Xenopus tropicalis: one gene and its partners. The protein of the gene in region 3 purifies or fractionates together with the protein of the main gene of each other region. This does not show direct contact. Links are inferred from orthologs where the notes say so. Each region holds a gene or a part of one and is shown on either strand. Other genes may lie near its edges. The genes, in order: sirt7, lyar, mybbp1a and npm1.

The links.
Region 1: the proteins of mybbp1a (region 3) and sirt7 purify together in Homo sapiens (affinity purification with western blotting; 3 studies listed by BioGRID, with this or other methods). This does not show direct contact. The link is inferred for Xenopus tropicalis from reciprocal best matches to the Homo sapiens genes MYBBP1A and SIRT7.
Region 2: the proteins of mybbp1a (region 3) and lyar purify together in Homo sapiens (affinity purification with mass spectrometry; 3 studies listed by BioGRID and IntAct, with this or other methods). This does not show direct contact. The link is inferred for Xenopus tropicalis from reciprocal best matches to the Homo sapiens genes MYBBP1A and LYAR.
Region 4: the proteins of mybbp1a (region 3) and npm1 purify together in Homo sapiens (affinity purification with mass spectrometry; 3 studies listed by BioGRID and IntAct, counting the BioPlex papers as one, with this or other methods). This does not show direct contact. The link is inferred for Xenopus tropicalis from reciprocal best matches to the Homo sapiens genes MYBBP1A and NPM1.

The regions. Positions count from the first base shown.
Region 1 is NC_030686.2:27,954,538-27,959,117, forward strand, and holds the end of sirt7 (NAD-dependent protein deacetylase sirtuin-7), read right to left. Parts: intron 4,561-4,580; coding exon 4,490-4,560; intron 4,364-4,489; coding exon 4,291-4,363; intron 3,085-4,290; coding exon 2,986-3,084; intron 2,885-2,985; coding exon 2,648-2,884; intron 2,553-2,647; coding exon 2,472-2,552; intron 2,396-2,471; coding exon 2,289-2,395; intron 1,624-2,288; coding exon 1,431-1,623; 3' UTR 1,256-1,430; downstream 1-1,255. UniProt on the Homo sapiens protein: NAD-dependent protein-lysine deacylase that can act both as a deacetylase or deacylase (desuccinylase, depropionylase, deglutarylase and dedecanoylase), depending on the context. Specifically mediates deacetylation of histone H3 at 'Lys-18' (H3K18Ac).
Region 2 is NC_030677.2:26,336,160-26,342,486, reverse strand, and holds the start of lyar (cell growth-regulating nucleolar protein), read right to left. Parts: upstream 4,145-6,327; 5' UTR 4,044-4,144; intron 197-4,043; 5' UTR 155-196; coding exon 33-154; intron 1-32. UniProt on the Homo sapiens protein: Plays a role in the maintenance of the appropriate processing of 47S/45S pre-rRNA to 32S/30S pre-rRNAs and their subsequent processing to produce 18S and 28S rRNAs. Also acts at the level of transcription regulation.
Region 3 is NC_030678.2:100,985,278-100,990,981, reverse strand, and holds part of mybbp1a (myb-binding protein 1A), read right to left. Parts: intron 5,661-5,704; coding exon 5,565-5,660; intron 5,164-5,564; coding exon 5,080-5,163; intron 4,580-5,079; coding exon 4,505-4,579; intron 3,248-4,504; coding exon 3,140-3,247; intron 2,893-3,139; coding exon 2,702-2,892; intron 1-2,701. UniProt on the Homo sapiens protein: May activate or repress transcription via interactions with sequence specific DNA-binding proteins. Repression may be mediated at least in part by histone deacetylase activity (HDAC activity).
Region 4 is NC_030679.2:20,060,915-20,067,051, reverse strand, and holds the start of npm1 (nucleophosmin), read right to left. Parts: upstream 3,479-6,137; 5' UTR 3,427-3,478; coding exon 3,366-3,426; intron 1-3,365. UniProt on the Homo sapiens protein: Involved in diverse cellular processes such as ribosome biogenesis, centrosome duplication, protein chaperoning, histone assembly, cell proliferation, and regulation of tumor suppressors p53/TP53 and ARF.

The DNA of each region.
Region 1 (4,580 bases), on a different chromosome or scaffold from region 3:
GACTTAAGGGCACTATTGAGACAACTGAAGGCATGCCTGCAGCTTGGGATTAACTCTTTATTAGCCTTTCCTTCTCCTTTAAATCGCTTACCTTGTACCCCGGGCTGGTGCCCCTTTTCAGAGAGAACAGCACCAGCTCAGGGTAGCTGCGATCGCTTTTTTGCCTTCGCGTGCATGCGCAGTAGAGTGAAAAAGCCAAACTTAAAATATAAAGTCGGCTTTTCACTCTACTGCGCATGCGATTCCTCAGTGTTACTCTGAAGGGAAGTGAATTGCCTTAGGTTATCTATATAAGGGGGAAAGCAGTAGACTATTTTTTCTTTTGCCGATGACAATGGAATATATGATGCCAGGCTGTCTGAAGTTTGTTGCCTCGGAGAAGCCAGATCTCTGCAGTTCATTTTAGGTGTTAAAAGACCAAGCAGCTAAGGCTCCACCAAGGAGGAAGGAAGGGGTCAGTATCCCTCTGCCACTTTTAACGTATTATTCCTATATTGGGTTTAAATCAGATACCTGGTACGTTGCTGCCTGTTGCATTACCTCTTTCCTATTCAGGGAGGTTAGATGTATAGGCTTACCCTGTTCTGAAGTTCTTATGGCTATCCCTAGTGCAGCCAATCCCTGGTGAGCTCCCAGCAGAGAGCCCTTATTTAAAGGGGATCTGTCACCATAATAAATAACTCCAACTGTGTTTCTAACATTTGAGCAAAATAAACTTACACTAATATATATTTCTATATATAGAAATAATATAAATCTTCTTTCCTTCAGTCTTGGAATTCACAATCACAACAAGTAGGCAGGCGCCATTTTGTGGGCACTGTTAGTAAGGCAAGCTTTGCATCATGCCAAAATAATGTTTATGTGGCAGAATGGGGGACCAGATGTCTAAACTCATGCACTGGTTACAGAGGAAGGGGAAAGTGAGGAGTCCTGAATGGAAAAGTTATTGTCTTCCCCACCTCACCTCGCCAGTTTCTAGGTCTCTGTACCTTCTGGTGACCCTGCTGGCTTGGGCACCCTGACCTTGTTCCTGATTGCCAGGTAGGCACTCTGATCCTGTTCCTGGTTTTTGATCCTGATTCAGGAACCTTTCCCTTGCTGGTTTCCTTTAACCCTGTTTGTATTTTTGTTGTCCTTAAACTATTCCTGCTGAGCCAGTAAGTTTGCTTACCATATAATCCAGCCTGTCCTTGTACAAATAGTATTCAACTTATAAGTGGCGAATATAATTGAGCACAGTGCTTTTTGCCAGCAGCTTTAAACAGATTTTCAATGTTTACTTAATATTTGCAGTTTAAAAAAATACTTTAGGAAAATAAAATATCTTTTAAGAACATTTTATACAGCTTAATTTTTTTGTTTGTGCAAACAGCCATATATAGTGCAGATGTGCAAGTTTACTAAGGGAAGAGAGACCCCTCGATTCATCATCTTCTCATCCTCCGACCCTTGGTGTATCCTTTACCAAACCAGCCGCCACTTACTGGCTGCTCAACAACAGGCTGCTCCTGCTCAGGTATTATGTTGTGTGAATCTGCAGTCTTTATAGGCTTTCGAGTATGGCTTTGTTCTTCACTGGAGTGCAATGGGACAGCCAAGGAGAATATTGGATCCTGAGACCTGCAATATGGGTAATTATCAATAATGCACATAGCTCATCCTGTATTCATCATTCATTAATTATTAACTAATGTAAACTTCGCTTGAATGCTGACACATATACTTCCATGGTGTGGTCACCACCCAATTATGTATTTGGCCAAAGAGAAACACCTTTATTGATGATCAGCCCCTGGTGTAATTGCCCCAAAGTTGATTAGCTTAATAAGAAAACCAGAAAAAAGAATTCAATTCATTACATCTGTGCACTTATGCTAAGGGATCAGCCATATAAGCCCACAGGAAAGTATTTAGAAGGATGGGAGCCAAGCTGCAAACTGCAAGTCACAAAACAAAATTCTGGGCATTTTATCCACAGACTAATGAAATTTAAAGACATTACAATTTATTATACAAAGCAATTACAACCCTATTTTAAAAATTTATAAAAACTACAACTAGGAAGCAATACTATGCTATACTACTACTAAGGATTTATATGAAAATAATTTGCAGCAAATAACAGACTTGCCTGTTTCCAAGGCTTCTTTAAGCAGCTATTGTGTTACTAGTATATTAAACAAGCCTTGACACTACAGTTCTCTACCAAAATTATTTTTACTAAGTAAGGTGGACACCATCAGAGCTAGAAATAAACACATATGCAGAGATATAACTTCACTTACCGGTCATAAACAGGAACATTTAAATTCAATTCTTCCATTAAGATCTGCATAACATCATCACACTTGCCATTAATCTTAAGGGTAGCTACTGAATCCTTAGGGGTCCACTGTAAAGAAACAGAAAATGGAGGGTTACGAGGATCCAGACTGTGTTGCAGAAACGACTCTCTGGCCAACACTCACCTGTAAGTTCACAATATAGAGCTTTGGCCGACGTGCACGAGCCCTGTTCATGCCCCAGAGGCAGCTATACTTTTTCAGGACCTGAAAGGTGGTCATAGAGAAACAGGAGTGGTAGATAAGAAAAGAAAAGCTAACTAAATGATGGTAATAGCTAAAGTTTACATACTTGAATTTACCTTTAGACTTGAACCAAGACATAATATTACATCAGCTTTCTCAGAAGCTTGCACTGCTCCTTCCCAGTTTAATGGCTGTGTCAGCTTCCCCCGTTCTCCAAAGTGAACAATGGAGTCTCTAAGTTCAGCACCGCAATTGTGACAGAAGCGCCCTGTGTTGTGCCTGTGAAGAGCTGTGCGTTCTGTTACATCAAACAATCTCACATACTCTTTTTGCGGTGAACATAAGGTGCAGACCTATAAATGGGGGGAAAAAAGACAGATTGACCGATTACAAGGGTAAATGCAGCCCAAGCAGGAGCTCAGATTCTCATTCACACAGAAACACCTCAGCTCACCTCAATGAACATATTTCCATGAACTTCAGAGATGGCTTCTCTTGGTAACCCACTACGAAGATGTAGCCCATCACAATTTTGTGACACAATATGCTGGACCTAAAAAAGATGTGTAAACACAGCAAAACATCTAAAGCCATGGATAGAAATAAGACACAGTAAGATTTAATGTTGTAATATAAAATATAATGTTGTATATAGAAAATATATAAATAATAATAAACTCAAATAATTAAGTAAAAACATAATACAAGAAGTGCAAGAAAAACAAAAAAAAAACATAGTTTACTTTTTAGTGCTCTCAAATACATATACAGTGCATTCAGTAAAAGCACCTATGTGAGAAAAGGGTGTAGGAATACTGAATGTCCAGCAAGTGAATCAGTGAGTCTGTCTCCTCACCAGAATGTATACACGTTGGCAAAATCACAATCTGAAAAGAATTTCATGGCAACCAGGAAATTCCACCTTGTGCAGAGAAGACAGAAAATCACATACAGCTACTTACATAAGAAATGTGGTAAATAACACACAAAATGCATAGAGCTGCTAGTTTATACTTCTATGCCTGCATCTTTTCGGATTTATGAGGCCTTTACTGCAAAGGGTGTGTCATTAACATTTTTTGCACTATATGTAATTTTTTTTCTGCTCCATGCTTATTGGCAAGCCATTACTTCCTCATGCCTAGTATGAAATTTGCTTTAGTGCAGTCTACCGATGAGTAGACAGGCTCACTGATTCATTTGCTGGATATTCAATATCCCCAAACCCCCCTTGCTCACAGAGATGTTTACACTAAATATACATGTTTATGGGAGGCGCACAGTTAACTGATGGTGTGAATGTGTTTACAACATACTATAATAATTTTTTTTATATTGCTGCACTTCCATGTAGTAGTTTGTTTGGTTTTTATACCCAGCATAGGAGTGGGGCTTACAGGAGCTGTAATCAGTTTTACACACTTGTTGTACTTCAGTATTGGACCATGTTAAAGGGGACCTGTCACCCTAAGAAATAATTCCGAATTCTTTTCTATTGTGTTTCTCAAGCAAAATAAACTTCACTTACACTATAAAAATAATATAAATCTTGTTTCCTTCAGTCCTGGAATTACACAATCACTGCAAGTGGGTGCCATTTTGTGGGCACTGTTATTAAGGCAGGCTTTGTAGCACCCCAAAATCTTGTTTATGTGCTAGAATGGGGTACCTGATACCCATGCCCATACACTGGGTATCAGACATTTCATTAACCTGGCACAACAAAAGTAGGAAGGGAGAAGATATAACTGTATCTTACCAGCCCTGCACTGTGTAACCGCACAATGCACATGTGAGTAAAAGTAGGCTGGGCTTCACTTAGATCCCCTGCACTGAATAAATCGAGCAGAAAAAAAAAAAGAAATAGAAAAAACACTATGTATAAAATAGTTATCACAAATGTATTTACTTAAAAAAAAACAACAAAAAACTGTATTGCCCATGGCACTGGCCCTTACTTTACAGTCCTGCCCTTATTCAGAAGTGTCCATACACCGCTTGGCCCTCGATAATCTGGAATAGCTGCAGCCTGTGGAGAGTAAGAACATC
Region 2 (6,327 bases), on a different chromosome or scaffold from region 3:
GATTAGCCTACCAACTGAAACATAACACATACCAGAAATCTTTTCCACAGTCTATACAAGAGAGACAGCCACAATTTCGACACTTTCCTCTGTGTTTTTCAACTTGTCCTTTCTTTAAAGATTCCCCACAGGCATTGCAAGTAAAGAATACCATGGTGACCTACACAAGAGCAAGGCTTCGATTCCAAGAGAAAACCTAAAGGGGGAAAAACGTACTTAATCCAAGATGGATTCTCAATCTCTGTATCACACAGTCCCAATAACCTTATTAAAGAGGCAGCATAACCCCCCTCCCCCCTATAAACATGGAATCAATGAATTCCAGGGCATGTGCTAAACATACTTTCAATTATTAAATATAATACGTTCTAAGTTCTACAGTCTATGGGTTTGCTCATTATGCTTTGGGTCATGTATAAAATTGCTGGGCAGCGCCAGTCAGTATGTACCGTAGTCTCTTTTCAGGCAGTTAGTCAGTTTCACATCTGCATCATGTGAGCACAGCACCAGTCTGCAATGGGAAATTGCCACAGGGTGACCACCATACAGAATACCTGCTCACTACTAGTCCAGTTAAGAAAGTCATAAGCCTTGTGGGCCGTTAGTAAGCTGAGAAAACATTCTAGTTAATGTCCTGGCAGACCCATAGCTAGCAATTAATCCATACGCAACTAACTAATGCCAACTGACCAACGATTGCACAATTGACCTGACATTCAAGTTACAGAGTGCCAGTGTCACATATTCTACATTTCTGGGTGCCATTATTTTCAATGCATGGATGCAAGTTCCCAATCTACGTATGATCCTGTTCTGCAGAAAAATTAAACATTACAATAGTAGTAAAAAAAAAAAATTGTCAGATATGAGGCTTTGTATGAGTTTTGGAACATGTGGACCCAAGGAACAATTGATAGACATCCTAGTACGGTGCATATTGCTGGGTCAATGAGGCAAGGTTTAACAATTTTAAAGAAACAGTAACACCAAAAAATGAAAGAGCTTTAAAGTAATAAAAATATAATGCACTGTTGCCCTGCACTGGTAAAACTGGTGTGTTTGCTACAGTAACACTACTATAATTTTTATAATACCGTATATACTCGAGTATAAGCCGATCCGAATATAAGCCGAGGTACCTAATTTTACCTAAGAAAACTGGAAAAACTTATTGACTCGAGTATAAGCCTATAGGGTGGGAAATGCAGCCGCTACTGCAAGTTGAAGTGATATCACCCCCCTCCCAGCAACCGATCAGCAGAACAATGAGAAGGGAGCAAGATAGCAGCTCCCAGTAGGTATCAGAATAGCACTCAATAGTAAGAAATCCAAGTCCAGCTTGGGACTCCCCCAGTTACATGGGAGTAGGAGAAACAATAGGTTACCTGAAAGCAGTTCTAATGTGTAGCGCTGGCTCCTTCTGAAAGCTCAGACTCGGGCACACTTTACTGCTGCGCTGCAAGTTGGAGTGATATCCCCCCCTCACCCCCAGCAGCCAATCAGCAGAACAATGGGAAGGGAGCAAGATAGGGAATCATTTAACCATGAAATAAACCCAATAGGATTGTTCTGCCCCCAATAAGGGGCAATTATATATATTGTTCCATTTCGCCTATGGATGGGTATGTAGGGCACAACTGCCTCTGCGTGCAGCTACTGTTCTGTGGGGCTCCATTGAAAGTGGGAACCATGGTGTTTGCATTGGATTGCACCCCACTTTATGGCCCCTTTGTTGGCAATATGGGGGGCATACAAGGAAATCCTTATGTGAAAGTGCCTGCACCCCTCCTATAATATCTGCCTTATGTCTGAGGGATGTGACATTCCCAATGTCAAAATAATTCATTGGAAGCAATATAAGCCGAGCCTTGTAGCAAAGAATGGAATTACCTGCAGAAAAGAATGTAAACTGTAATTGTGCATTCAGCCCGCACATCGTTCCCTTGCTCTGCGCTGTTGGGCTGGAGGCGCCATTAGTTTGGAGCAGCTTCAACTTGCACAAAGCGGCGCTACAGATCGGTGCCCTGAGAGCTCAGCAAATACCCCAATAAAATAATGAAATGGCACAAAGCGGCGCTACAGATCGGTGCCCTAATGCTCATACCTGTAAGGAGAAGCCCCCGCTCGGCAACGATGCCACGCGTCAGCACGCAAGTTAGGGCGCGTGCAGCTATGCATTTAATTCAGATACCGTATATATGCGAGTATAAGCCGAGGTTCACTTTTTAAGCACATTTTTAGTGCTAAAAAACTCGGCTTGTACTCGAGTATATACGGTAAGCTGCTGTGTAGCCCTGGGGGCAGCCATTCAAGCTGGAACAAAAGGAGAAAAGGCACAGGTTACATAGCAGATAACAGATAAGCTCTGTAGAATACAATAGTGTTTTATCTGTTATCTGCTATGTGCCTGTGCCTTTTCTCCTTTGAATGGCTGCCTCCATGGCTACACAGCAGCTTAATTATATAAATTATAGTAGACTTTCTGAAGCAAACACACAACTTTTACCAGTGCAGGGCAGCAGCACATTATATTTTAGTTACTTTTATACACTTTCATTTTTTGGTGTTACTGTTGCTTTAATCAGTTTAGTTCAGGCAGACGATAATCTCTGATCAAGTGTGCTTAATCTGATAAGGTAGTGGCAAAGGTGATGTTTCTAAGGGCTCTGGCACACGGGGAGATTAGTTGCCCGCGACAAATCTCCCTGTTCGCAGGCGACTAATCTCCCCGAGTTACCATCAGTTGCCATCCCACCGGCGAAAATGTAAGTCGCCGGTGGGATGGCACACGCGGCGGCACAATTTCTGCAAATTGCCGAAAATGCCTCGCAAGGCAACTTCGGCGATTTGCTGAAATCGCCTGCGCAGCGTGTGCCATCCCACCGGCGACTTACAATGGCAATTCGGGGAGATTAGTCGCCCGCGAACAGGGAGATTTGTCGCGGGCGACTAATCTCCCCGTGTGCCAGAGCCCTAAGGGTGAAGACACATGGAGCTACTAGTAGCAGCTACTAAAATAGACAATGCTGATAATTGTCTCTACGTTTTACAAGAGGCAATTCTCAGTATTGTCTATGGCAGAGTATTTTCTGGTGTAGCCGTGAGAAGTAGCTGCTACTAAGTAGCTCTGTGTGTCTTCACCCTAAGGACTTGGACACAGGGAGCGGTTTGTCCACTTCTCTCATTTAGCATTTATCCGTCAGGCTGAGAGAAGTAGATCCGCTTCCACACGCTGCTTCATTTTTTCTCCACAGGCCAAGAATCATCCCTGTGTGGCACTAGCAATACTGCTTCCCAAGTGGCACCTTTACACACGGCCAATCCGCTGCCCTACCTTTCTGTTCATTTTAACTCTCCGGTGTTCTAGCTACTGAAAAATCCTTTGGCTGTTCACCAGTTATATGGAAATCTCTCTACTTGTATTGGCAGCTTTACATTAATGGAGAGCACTAGTGCAGTCTGATACCCTGAGTCGGTGATCACTGGCTACTTGGGGAGACTGCCAGGTGTAATAACAGCCTTAAAGAGATTTAACCCCAAAAATGAAGTTAAAGTCCTGTGAGCACTTTTCCAGTTTAAACTGGTTACTGAGATAATGGCAGCTTTACACTGATTCCCAAGCTTTTTGGATCCAAAAAGTGCCAGCAACCCCAGCTGTGCTCTCCCTGCAGTCTCTTGAGAGAGTCAGAAGCCAGTTTATGTACTATAGCTCGGATGAGCACTGTCAGTAAGGCCAGTTTATATTTTGCATTTAGATGCCCTTTAACAGCACAGTTTTGCCAGAAGAGCTAGTGTGGGGGCTTTGCTGGGGGCACAGGGTACTGAGATAACTGATCCATCCCGTTAGGATTTAAACGAAGCTGAAACAGGATCGTTATCCCCCTGATGCCATGGGGTTAGCTGACACAGCCATACCCAGCCCCCCATACACACACACACACAGTGCTAGTCTAACAGCAGCACACCCATAGTGTCTCTCTCTATAGATCTTACAGTTTGTGCGAGTTGCAGTTCAGAAACCCGCTGCATCGGGCACCCCTTACCTCCCACTTCCCGGGCTCGGCGCAGCAGTCCCACTATAGCCTAAGGCGCCTCTCTCCCACCGTACCGCCAGCTATACCCACGTGTAGCGCTCCCGCACTGCGCAGACTATTTACTGTGACGCCACTTCCGCCCGGCTTCCCAGCGCCGCGACCTTGAGGGCGGAAGTGACGTACCTATCGGCGAAAGTCTTGACTCGTTCGGTTGATGGGTTCATGTTGGTGCGGCAGGGATAGAGCCAGAGGGGCCTCAGTGCCCGTACGTACAGACGGTAAGGGGCTCAGTCCGGAATGACCACCAAATGTAATAGTATATGTAAATAAACAACCTCGTATATATATATATATATATATACATACACACACACACACACACACACACACACTTAACCCTTTTACTGCCAGCCATTTTGGTCAAAGCGGAACTTGTATTGCCAGACAGTTTTTGAACATTTTGCACTGTTTCACTTTAGGGGCCTTTCCTCGGGGGGACTTTTAGTTTACCAAGGAAAACAATATATCGTTTTTTTCAGAACAACCTAAGCTTTCAAAATATGGTAGAATTTTTGTGTAATTCCAATTCTGTAACAAGATATAGGCTTCTAAATGTCTAAAAATGCAAAAAAAATCAAATTTTCCATAATATAATCACACATACTAGAAACAAAAATTATTTTATGCACGAATATACAACTGATTTGGAAAGTCCCATGTCTCCTGAACGTGCCAATACCAAATATATATAGTTTTATGGAGATTTCTCACTTGTATAGGTCAAAAACTCCCAGCAGTACACTACCAAATTCCCAAAGCACTGCTCCAAAAAAACTGCATACTTTGGATTTCAAGGCCAAAATTCCACTAACAGAAGGTTTATCCCAGAAAATTGTACATTTTTGGAAAGAACAGATTCTGGGGAATACAGAATAGGCACAACTGTCTGTCTACTCCAAACTATCAAGTTGCAATGCTTTCCTAAAGTTATTGGTTTTTATCAAAATTTGTGATTTTTTTTAAAAATCGCTTCAAAGCTTCTAGTCTATAGTATCTTATCTCCTACAGGTCATAAAGTAACCAAATAAAATACCCTAAATATAAATGCCTGGGGTCCACTGAACAGTTTGATGCCCAATATGTATAGGTTTACCTAAGTATGTGGCATGTAGGGGCCCCAATGTGAACATACCCCATATGAACTGTCATTTCTGTCATTTCAGCTTCTGCAAAATCAACACATTTACATCATTATATGTGGGATGAAGCTAGTAAAAAGTACGCTCACCCCAGAAAGTCATATATTTTTGGAAAGTACACATTCCCCCGAATCTAAAATGGGTACCCATGTCTTTCTACTCCAAAGTACCAAGCCGCACAGCTTTTCTAAAGTTAGCAATTTTGATGACATTTCCAAAAATCCCCTCAAAGCTTCCAATTTGAAGCATCTTATCTCCCACATAGCATTAGGTACCAAGATAAAACACCCTGAATTTGAACACCAGGGGTCCACTGAACAGTTTGATGCCCAATATGTATAGGTTTACCCAAGTATGTGGCATGTAGGGGCCCGAATGTGAACATACCCCCATATATACTGTCATTTCTGTCATTTCAGCTTCTGCAAAATCAACACATTTACATCATTATATGTGGGATAAAGCTAGTAAAAAGTATGCTCACCCCAGAAAGTCATATATTTTTGGAAAGTACACATTCCCCCGAATCTAAAATGGGTACCTATGTCTTTCTACTCCAAAGTACCAAGCCGCACAGCTTTTCTAAAGTTAGCAATTTTGATGACATTTCCAAAAATCCCCTCAAAGCTTCCACTTTGAAGCATCTTATCTCCCACATAGCATTAGGTACCAAGATAAAACACCCTGAATTTGAACGCCAGGGGTCCACTAAACAGTTTGATGCCCAATATGTATAGGTTTACCTAAGTATGTGGCATGTAGGGGCCCCAATGTGAACATACCCCCATATGAACTGTCATTTCTGTCATTTCAGCTCCTGCAAAATCAACACATTTACATTATTATATGTGGGATAAAGCTACAAAAAAGTACGCTCACCCCAGAAAGTCATATATTTTTGGAAAGTACACATTCCCCCGAATCTAAAATGGGTACCCATGTCTTTCTACTCCAAAGTACCAAGCCGCACAGCTTTTCTAAAGTTAGCAATTTTGATGACATTTCCAAAAATCCCCTCAAAGCTTCCACTTTGAAGCATCTTATCTCCCACATAGCATTAGGTACCAAGATAAAACACCCTGAATTTGAACACC
Region 3 (5,704 bases):
TATATATATATATATATAATTTTAATTATATATATATATATATAATTAAAATTATATATATATATATATATATATATATATATATATATATATATATATATATATATATATATATATATATATAAAGAACTACCTGCAGCGTGTAGTAATGTTATGGCTGCATTCGCAACAATTGTTGCTAAATCTGTGAAATATTGGGCAGCTCTGCCTGGCTGTTTCTAATGTGGTTTAAAAATGCAATAATGTTGCAACTTTATTCGCAACTATTGTTGCTAGTACTTGTGATATATTTGGCAGCTTTCCCAGTTGCTTCAAATGCAGTTCAAACACTGGGGAATAGTTTCCACATCGGAGGTAAGTATATCCTAAAGAATCCTGCCTTAAAGAGTAGCTCAAATTAATCCAACGAACTGTATAATCAAACTGTATACCTCAGTTTTATTATTTTGAGCAAATTAATATATTATTAAGATTTAGGTTTTTCAGATTATAAGCTAACGGCGCAAGTGAATCCTGGGTCCTAGAAGGTAAGTATATCAAACGTGTGGGGTAGTTGTGGGTACTTCTATCCAAGCGGGAATTGCTGGGAACTTCACATTGGTCCCAGTTCAACCACGGCCAGCAGAATAATGCCCTACCCGACACAAATCCCCACAAACAAAACCTGAGTACCCGATACAGCTCCCCACAAGCAGGCACTTAAGTCGTATTGAAACAGTAAGTTATTCATTCTGAGTTATTACCCCCTCTATCTTGCCCCTATGGATACCAAATAGTCCAATCCAAGGAGACCAATTAAGGGAAGAGGGAGCCACCCGAAACCGGAATTAGGAGCTCAAAAAATAACGACTCAGATCAGGAGCTACAGACTGGGTATCTCAAATGATTTTGTATCCGTAGGTTGTTAGTTCAGAGTTATTGTCCCCTCTATCTCGCCCCCATAATTACCAGACAATCAAATTCAGGGAGACCAAATACGAGGAGAGCGAGACACAGAGTACCAGAATACAAACTCCAAAAGTAACAGTTCGACCAGAGTGCCCCTTCGCTGTTCTTATGAGGATATGCTGGAAGTCTTTACTTCTATACTAGCATTCACATATGCGCCGTTCATCAGCGATCACCAAAACCTGTATATCATTACCTCGTCGTGCCTACCATTACCCATTTAGGTTACCTCGGCACGACTACATACAACAATGCACGGAAATAAGGATGCCTGATTTACTGAAACAAACAACAGCGACACAGGTCAGCCTAGCTGCATAGAGGACATACTCCAGTTGCTAATACTGAATTAAATAAATCTAACCATCAACAACCACGTACAGCCTAAGAACAAATTACCTCATCGTGCCTACTACCACATATACAGGTTACCTCGGCACGACTACACAAAGTGGTACATAAGATTGCGAACGCCGACACGCGTTTCGCTCATAGCTTTGTCAAGGCGAATCTTATGTACCACTTTGTGTAGTCGTGCCGAGGTAACCTGTATATGTGGTAGTAGGCACGATGAGGTAATTTGTTCTTAGGCTGACTACTTGGTATCCATAGGGGCGAGATAGAGGGGGTAATAACTCAGAATTAATAACTTACCGTTTCAATACGACTTAAGTCATTCGGGGTGCCCAGCCGGGGCTAACTTACTCAGGTGCCTGCTTGTGGGGAGCTGTATCGGGTACTCAGGTAGGGCAGATTATTCTGCTGGCCGTGGTTGAACTGGGACCAATGTGAAGTTCCCAGCAATTCCCGCTTGGATAGAAGTACCCACAACTACCCCACACGTTTGATATACTTACCTTCTAGGACCCATGATTCACTTGCGCCGTTAACTTATAATCTGAAAAACATAAATATTAATAATATATTCATTTATCAAAATAATCAAACTGAGGTAATTTTCAACCTCTTATAAAGTTTGTTGGATTAATTTGAGCTACTCTTTAAGGCAGGATTCTTTAGGATATACTTACCTCCGATGTGGAAACTTTTTCCCAGTGTTAGAACTGCATTTGAAGCAACTGGGAAAGCTGCCAAATATATCACAGCACTAGCAACAATAGTTGCGAATGAAGTTGCAACATTATTGAATGTTTAAACCACATTAGAAACAGCCAGGCAGAGCTGCCCAATATTTCACAGCATTAGCAACAATTGTTGCGAATGCAGCCGTAACATTACTACACGGTTTTTCATACAGGACAGGAGCCTGACTGATATACTCAGAACTAATGTGAAATTTCTGCAGGTAGTTCTTTATATATATATATAATTTTACATATATATATATACTTTTAGGAATCTACAATATTTTGCTAGCCTAGTCACCACACTAAGAAATACCAGCCGCTAATAGAACATTTAGTTGGTCTGCTTCTGACCATGTGTAAATGTAGAGGTACTAAGATTGCCCCTTGTTATTTTAACTCCTAATTTTTCTATTCTTTTCCTATTTTGTAACTTGTGGATTTTAATTATAATTAATAAAGATTTCTTTTATATTCGCCAAGTGGTGTGCCAGTATTTTGTGTCTTTCTATCCCACTTGTAACTGCATTATACACACACTGTGCACTGTGCGAGGTTACCCTTACCACTAAATATCTCCTTAACACATGAAATGTAATAGATCACTACACAGCTGACTTTGATAAAATAACTATATTGCAAATGTATAAAATTGTGGAAAACCATACTTAGGAATGTTCTCCTGTGTAGTTATCACAGAGGATCCAAGCAGTTTCTTCAATTTTTTGGGTTTTAGAACCCCTGGAAATTTCTGCATTCCAACCAGCAGCAGATGCAGCTGCTCTGGAGAACTAAACGCTGATGTCAGGTCTGCACGAAGTACTCCAAACAACACTTCCTCGAATAAAGATTCTGGAATCTGCCAAGGAGAAAGTTTAAGCATTGTATGCTGTTAAAGTGAAAAAAAAGCATAATCTTCATAAATTCCCATCTAGATAACATTATACAGTTAAATCTGGAAATGAAGCTTGGTCGTTTTTCATGGCTGAAAATCTGATAAAACCCATCATCGATGCACCAACTTGTGCAAAAATAAAAACACACCAATGTTCAAATGCATTTCCTTACACAAACATTTATCATACATTATAACCAGCATGTCATACCTCTGAGAGAATGTCAACAAGTGTTTTCCTGGGCAGATCTTTCAAGTGTTCCTTATATTGAGCAATGTTTTGCAATATTTGCACACACTGTAAAAGGACTTTTGGATCCTGTAAAAAAATATATTGTGTATTAAAAGCGTAAAAATACTAAACAATCTAAAAATAAAAACAATTCGCAAGGGCTTAATTGTGAAACTTTTTCATATTAAAACTAGCTTACACTGCTTGATATGCTTTTGCTTGCCTCTCCCACTCACTGAAAGGATAAGTCAAACTTAGCAGTATATCATCACTATTTATTTACATAACAGCTAAAGCTGTCCATACACGCAAAAACCTTGTTTCGTACGATATTCGGTGCGTGTATGGCAAGTCGGTGAGTCAACCGTTCGGGCGGGTTAAAAGATTTTGATCGGGCGCCATAGAAGGCGCCTGATCAAAATCTGCCTTCAGGGCTGAATCGGCAGAAGGAGGTAGAAATCCTATTGTTTCTACCTCCTTATCTGCCGTTTCAGCCCTGAACGTTAGTGGCTGATTGAACGATCTTTCGTGCGAAGATCGGAAATCGCCAAATGTGTGGCCACCTTAAGAGTAACCTGGTCTGAAACAGTAGGGGTTTTAAGATAGCACTAACCATCTAAGACTGCAGCAGAGATACTGGATATAAACAGTTCACACATTTCAACTTTCTCTTGTGCTTAGACAATTCAACTGACTTGTGAAGAGGTTTTGCACACTTAACATGGATTATGATGTTTCATGACAAAGGATTAAGATTTATGGCTGTGTCACCACTGAATGTATTTCTTAACTGTATTGCTTACTGCCCTAAGCGTATACTAGATCTAATGTGGTATGACCCTAAGAAAATTGCTCCTCTGTGGGCCTAAAGACCACTTTGGGGGTGACTGTCTGTTGCTCTCTAAAATAGTCCTGGAATTCCAACAAAGAATCATTTAGGGCGAGATGTGAGTTTATTTGCTTATTCTTGAAACTATTCTTGAAAGTGTTGCATAACAGCAACATTTTTATATATCTGTAAGAATGTGATAAACTAAGGGGAGGCCCTGGCCAAATGCTGTACCAGAATGCAATATAATACTTGCTTTGTAGTATTTACTATGAAGCACTGACACTTAACATACCCAAAAGCTTTTAGAAGCCCAAGTTCACTACAGCATAAAAAACACGGCACAGTGTACCCTTGATGTGTCAGACAGCGCTCTACATAATTTATTAGCAGAGTGCAAAAAAAACACACACACACAAGTTTTTGGGGAGGAACCCTCAATCATGTACTTGGCTAACCCAAAATAATGCGCCTCCATTCTTTTTTGTGCTGTGCCTCAAAGGAGAATGTCTTACCTTGGCAAGACGACCAGACTGAAACAGTGCAAGGACACCGAAAAAATTCCCAAAGGCAGCATTTCGGAGTACTTTCTAGAAAGAAATGTTTAGGAGTGAAAATCAGATGTTACTGAACATATTTTGCAACCAATTTTCCACTTAAGCGGTGTATTCTCAAACACACAAACAGCATGGCAGCCAAATAGCTGCTGAACTTCTAAAGTGGAAAACTAATGAACAAAAGAATTCAAAGACAACTGAAAAAAAATGAAGACCAATTGCAAGCTGTCTCACAATACCAGTGTCTATGCCATATTAAAAATTAATTTATAGGTGAACTAACCATTTCAAATACTTTAACTATTTCTTTGTTTTTCATAATATAGGCAATATTTAGTTTGGCAACCCTAATGAGCATTATCCCAGAAACGTTTAGTAACAGAGCAATACTTAAGATGGCATGATCTTTTTAAATAATACAAACACTATACATCTACAATTGCATTAATAATGCCCAGAGTTTGCCAAATAGAGGGTTTTAATAAAACCCATCAGTAAGCCTGAACTGATGTTAAACTGATAAGAATTCTTACCTTGTTCAACCGCTCTAGATTATGTTTCTCAGAGATATGTTCTAATACTTTAGATAATGGAATTTCTTCAAAACTCTGCAGAACCTTTGAAATAAATTACGGTTAATTGCTTGAGACCAGGGGACTACATACAAGTTACAAAGCTGGGGTAAATTATTCTATATGCACACAAACATCTGGCTGATGAGGGTTTAAACAAAGCAGCTGGAGGACTTTTGGTGAGCTACCTAGTCTATCACAACAATATATTTATTGATGGTCACAAACTGACCAAATCTGGAATAGTGTGGTGTATACAAAACAACATTTCTGGTAAGTTATTCTTGAGATTTACATTTTCATGCTCAGCCACAGTATCTGCTGATCATATACTGTACAGTGAAAAAATATACACTAAATGAAAGCAAAATATGTTCATGATCGATGTCCCCAGTAACACATGAGAAATAAGCAATGTGGTCGACACACAAAATAAATGTACATACCTGAGCCAAGGCCAAACTAAAACCAGGACGCGCTGCTTCACGTGTTGCTGCTAACCCTTCTACAAGCCTTTTAAAAGTGTACTTTAGTTCATCTTCCTATGGAATATAAACAAATTACAACATTTTGAGAATGGAACAGC
Region 4 (6,137 bases), on a different chromosome or scaffold from region 3:
GGAAGTACTAAAGTGAAACTGGATTAAGTGTATTTATTGCTGAAAATAACAAAACGGATTTCTTTATTAAAAGAAAAGTATTCAGATCAAGACCTAATTAAGCTCATTATGAAATAGCGCTTAAAGCATCCCTTTGTCTATGGAGACACTTATACTAGATTATTAAAACACTTATATAGTGCCAATATATTTTAATGCTCTTAGAAATTACACACCATTCACATCAGTCCCTGCACTAGTACTGCTTAGTCTGTCCCTATCACAATAGTGTTTATTATATACATATGACCAATTAATCCACCTGTATGTTTCTATAAGACAGGAAAGATACCCATGTGGACACAGGAAGAACATACAAAAATCCATGCCACTGTGTGTTTATCCCATATCACCATTTTGCCTAAAGAAGCACCAACATGCAGCATTTCAAAACTGTGCCCCGCTCTACATCTCTGAACTCCTCAAACTGCTTGTTACGCTCTATTGATCAATGCAACACCTCATTCATTATCTCCTCACAAATGAGACTTTACTAGGGCTGCACCCTCTTCTCTGGAATTTACTCCCACATGATGTCCAACTGTCTCCCAGTCTTCCTGCCTTTAAAAGAACTCTCAAGCTTTTCTAAAGAAATGTTCTATTAAATTCCATGCTCTATGCCACATATTTTACCTTAGATTGTAAGCTCTTTCAGACAGAGCCCTCTACCTCTTGCATGGGCTAACTGCTTTATATGTACATCTTTCTACCTATTGAAGAACTCACTTTTACAATGCATTGCCCTTTGTACCTCCATGCATCGTCAAATAGTGATTAAAGTCCCCTCTACTGTAAAAAAAAAAAAAAAAAAATACATGTAGGGACCTATAGGGTTAACATGCCCCTATGGCTTTAAACCCTGCAGCTTCCTTGGCTTGTGCAGTTACTGGGCAAAGACCCATGTATCAGTTTAGAGTTTTGCATATGTGCCTTATTGGTTACCAGGGAGACCACTCCCTTGGCACACTGATATAGTGCTTAGCAGGGGGGTGTGGCTTTCTCTTTGGCTCCATCTGCTGACCCAGGTGGAAGTTCCACTGAGCCTGGGATCAACAGGGACCCAGTAAAGTGATTACCGTAGAGTCTGCATCGACTCTAGAGAAGTCAGTGACAGGGACCCTGTGAATGAGGACCAGTTAGATAGCATGTTGTGTTGAGCACTTTCTAGGAAAGCGAGATAGTGAGGGAAGGAAGCAAGGGCAGTTTGGCTCCACCAAATAAAGTAGTTTTGGAAGTACACTTCCAGACAGGCACTGTTGCCTTAGCGTAGGGCCACGGTTAAGGGCTCTCCCAGTGTGCCAGAGCCCTTAGACATAGAAGGCAGGCAGTATCAGAACCCTTATCCAGAGTTGCTGTGGGAGCCTGAGGGCTAGAGGTGTTCAACCTGAGGAGTGTGGTATCCAATCTGACTGTTCCAAAGGGTGGATAAACTGAACCAGTGGCACGGACCCTGGCCAGACTCAAGAGGAGTTGTGAGGAATGGATGTGCACCCTCTGTGCTGTCTGCAGAGAAATGCTATGCTAAACTGCTGTGAGTATATTACACTTACCCTGCATATTGATATATAACCATGCATATCTCTAACAATAAACTGATTCTATTGTTCAACTGCAAGAACCTTCTGGCTCTCATTTGTTATTCTGAACTGCACACAGCTACAGTGGGTTGTAGTTGCACTACACCATAGCTCGGTTTGGTCCCTTCTACATAGTTGGCTGGGTTACAGCCAAAAAAAGTGTTACATGTGTTATAAATCAGACATTCCATAGCCCAACTCCAAGGTGACTTCGAATATCCTCATTTTACAACAGTGGGTACTTTATTACAATACACAAGTTTATGCAAGTCATGTGACAAATTACATGAACAGGCACCATTTATAAAGATATCTTTTATGGGATATTTATGGCACTTGTGTGTATTTTTTTTTTATTTATTTTGAAACACATGTACGGGATCCCTTATCCGGAAACCTGTTATCCAGAAAGCTCCAAATTACAGAAAGCCTGTCTCCAATAGACTCCATTTTAATCAAAGTTCAGAATTTTAAAACAGATTTCCTTTCTCTCTGTAATAAAACAGTACCTTGTAATTGTTCCCAAAATATAATTAATCCTTATTGAATTCAAAACAATCCTATTGGGTTTAATTAATGTTTTATTGATTTTTTTAGTGGATTTAAGGTACGGAGATCTAAATTACAGAAAGACCCCTTATCCAGAATACCCTTGGTCCTGAGCATTCTGGATAACAGGAGATAGATATAGGTAGATATATTCTCTATAGATAGATACAGAGATAGGTTCTCTATAGAGAACCTGAGATATATCTCTGTATCTATCTATCTATCTATCTATCGAGAATATATCTACCTATATCTATCTATCTCCTGTTATCCAGAATGCTCAGGACCAAGGGTATTCTGGATAAGGGGTCTTTCTGTAATTTAGATCTCCATACGTTAAATACACTAAAAAAATCAACAAAACATTAATTAAACCCAATAGGATTGTTTTGCATTCAATAAGGATTAATTATATCTTGGGATCAATTACAAGGTACTATTTTATTACAGAGAAAAAGGAAATTAGTTTTAAAATTCTTAACTATTTGATTAGATAGATAGATATATCTATCTAGACTATTTTATATATATCTATATATATTTAACTCTTCCTTCCTGATGATAAGTGCAGAGGTAAGAATGGCAGCTCCAGCTGATAGGCACATGGCTATTTACACGTGGAGATATTGAAACAATGGCACATGTTACAGGGAGTTGTAGCTAAATAGGAGCTGTACAATGTATGTTAGATATTGATGGGTGCAGGGAGTTGTAGCTAACAGAACCTGCAGGTGGTATTATAGATATAGGTGGTATTATAGATGATAAACTGGAGCAATATTGGCTTCAAAGTTTAGGATAACTCTGGGTAGGGAGGTAATATGAAGGAGAGATGGAGGCGGAAGCAGTTAAAGAGCATTCATTTGGTGCAGCTTGTACCTGGGGGAGGGAGAAGGAATCTATATTCCACATAATGTGGTAGTGGTAGCAGGAGGGGAGCCATAGAAAGGCAAAGGGCAGCAGCAATGAATCCATGCTTTCGGCTCCTGCGCCCAGGAGCAGTCTAACCGTGAGGAAGGAGCGGGGACATTCCAACAAAAGCCCGGGACAGCGGGCTGAGTGACGCAAAACTGGGCTGTCCCGTTAAAAGCAGGACACCGGGGAGCCATGAACAAGTCAGCGGAACGTGTGACGTCTATATAATATTTCCCAAAAAAAACCCGTGGCCGAGTTTCAAAACCCCTGGTACTGTATACATACCAAAGAGAAAATTCTGAGGGCGCAGGGGAGCAATGCTATCCATATCCATGGAGTCTTCCATTTTGTTCCAATTCAATTCAGATGTACCCCCTCTACTCTACAGCGGCACGGACGGATTCTGAGAACTAATGGCGCGCAACGTGTCTCTATATGTACGGGCCTTTTTCTCGCGAGATTTCACGCCATAGAAAGGCGGGGCTATTTTCCCTCAAACAAGTAACGCAGTTTACGATTGGCTAAACACGTTCTGCTGTGAGGTATGTGATTGCGCAAAACGAGCTGTGGGTTTATAGGAATTTAACGTGACCCACCATGTGCTTGTTTGTAAGATAATGGCAAGGAGTTCACGTTGTGTAGGCCTGTGTCCATAGCAGAGATTGTTAAAGGGGATCTCTATCCCTGAACTCTTTTTGTGTATAATTAATGTAATAATTAATTTTAGTAACGTTCTCATATGCGGGCTTTAGACATGTTTACTGGTTTTAAACTGCTTTTGATATAATATGGAAAGTGAGATACTAGTCTGAGGCAGTGCCTTTTCTGCTATGGGTGTGGCTTTGATTATAGGCCACTTTTACTTTTTACACTAATTTCAGCCTAGCAAAATAAATGTGGAATGGTTTTAAAAAGAAAAAAATGGATCTGAAAGGTGTATTTAATGCCAATCAAATTATTTAATGTCAATTAAAAATGTTCATATACATAGGGACCTTAAGGTCCCCATACATGGGCCGATAGAAGCTGCCGATATCGGTCCCTTGGACCGACTCGTCAGCTTATCGGCCCGTGTAGGGGCAGAAACGAGCGGACTGGCCGACCAATATCTGGCCTGAAATTGGCCAGATATCGGTCGGCCAGGTTAGAAAATCCCGTCGGTTCGGGGACCGCATCGGCTCGTTGATGCGGTCCCCGAACCGTATGCCCCATTGCCGCGTGCAGAATTCGATCATTTGGCCCTCACCTACATGCCTCCCCGATATCGCCACCCGTAGGTGGGGATATCGGGTGAAGATCCGCTCGCTTGACGACATCGCCAAGCGAGCGGATCTTCCTGTGTATGGCCACCTTTAGCCTTTTTATTTCCATTCAGGAAACATGTTAGCCCTTTCATTGGGGTTTAAGAAAGATCTGTTAGCCCTTTTATTGGGAGCCACATAGGGGTTCAGGAAACCTCTGTATTTTCAGATGATCTCTCCTAAACAAGCTGCATTTATATGAGAGATTGTACCCCTATTTAAAGTGCGATACAGCACACACATTAATATACTTTAGAATATAAAATCTTCCATCTCCTTTACCAGTTTAGTTGCAGTCTCTGCACTCTCTCCAGCTCATTAATATCCTTCTTAAGGACTGGAGCCCAAAACTGCACTGCATACTCAAGGTGAGGCCTTACCAGGGACCTATAAAGAGGCAAAATTATGTTCTCATCCCTTGAGTCAATGCCCTTTTTTATACAAGACAGCACTTTATTTGCTTTAGTAGCCACAGAATGACATTGCCAGGAATTACACCGCTTGCTATCCAGTAATGTATCAGCCCTGTCTGGGCCCAGGCACAGGATGTGCACACAGGCTTAGTTTTCCAGATTAGTCAAATCGCTCTGCAAAGCGGCAGCATCCTGCATGGAATTTATAGCTTTGCACAATTTAGTGTCGTCAGCAAAGATAGAGACAGTACTGTCTATGCCCACCTCCAGGTCATTAATAAACAAGTTAAAAAGCAAAGGGCTAAGGACTGACCCCTGCGGTACTCCACTGACACTGGTCTAATTAGAGACTGCTCCATTTACCACCGCTCTTTGTAATCTATCCTTCAGCCAGTTCTCTATCCAAATGCAAATTTTATGTTCTAGGTCAATATTCCTTAATTTAAGGAGTATCCTTCTGTGTAGTACTGTATAAAATGCTTTAGCAAAGTCTAAGTAAATCTACTGCCATCCGAGAGTCTAGGTTCCTCATAGAAGAAAGTTAAATTAGTCTGCCAAGATCTATTGCTCATAAAGCCATAGTGGCACAAATTACAGTATTGTGGAATCTTTACTGAAGTGAGACGAGCACAAGCCACCGCAGTACTTTGCTGCAAACAACTGTTTATTAACCACAACATTTTTCGGGCCACAAAGGACCCTTTCTCAAGTTCATGCATTGTGATTTTCAATGTATTCAAGTATCTTATCGCTTGCTAACTCTTCTAAAGGTTTTTCTACCGCTAATGTCAAAGTCACGCTCTTCCTCATAGCTGCTATTTTGTATTATCAACTGAATCAGAGGGGTGAAAAGAAGGGCGCTACAAACAATTTAATCACCTGCTTGGACTTTTTCTCACAAAAAGAGCACCTACAACACAGATTGCCTTTCTATATTCTCAAAACATGTACTGACTTTATGTCTCAAAACTATATGTAGTCAATATGTACCCACTGTACTTCAATATCAACAAATATATTTATTAAGCAGGCTGAAAAGTAGTTTCCCCCTTAAAATTACTAGTGGGTAATAGAAGGGAACACTCCCTTGCAATGAAACCTTAATTCGCTTAAAGCCTACTAAATCAAATTCAATAACATAGTAAGTTAGGTTGAAAAAATACACACATCCATTAAGTTCAACCTTAAGGCCTATATATTACCTGTCTAACTGCTAGTTGATCCAGAGGAAGGCAAAAAAAACCCCCATCTGAAGCCTCTCTAATTTGCCGCAGAGGGGAAAAAATTCATCCTGCCTCCAAGATGGCAATCGGACCAGTCCCTGGATCAACTTGTGCTACAGC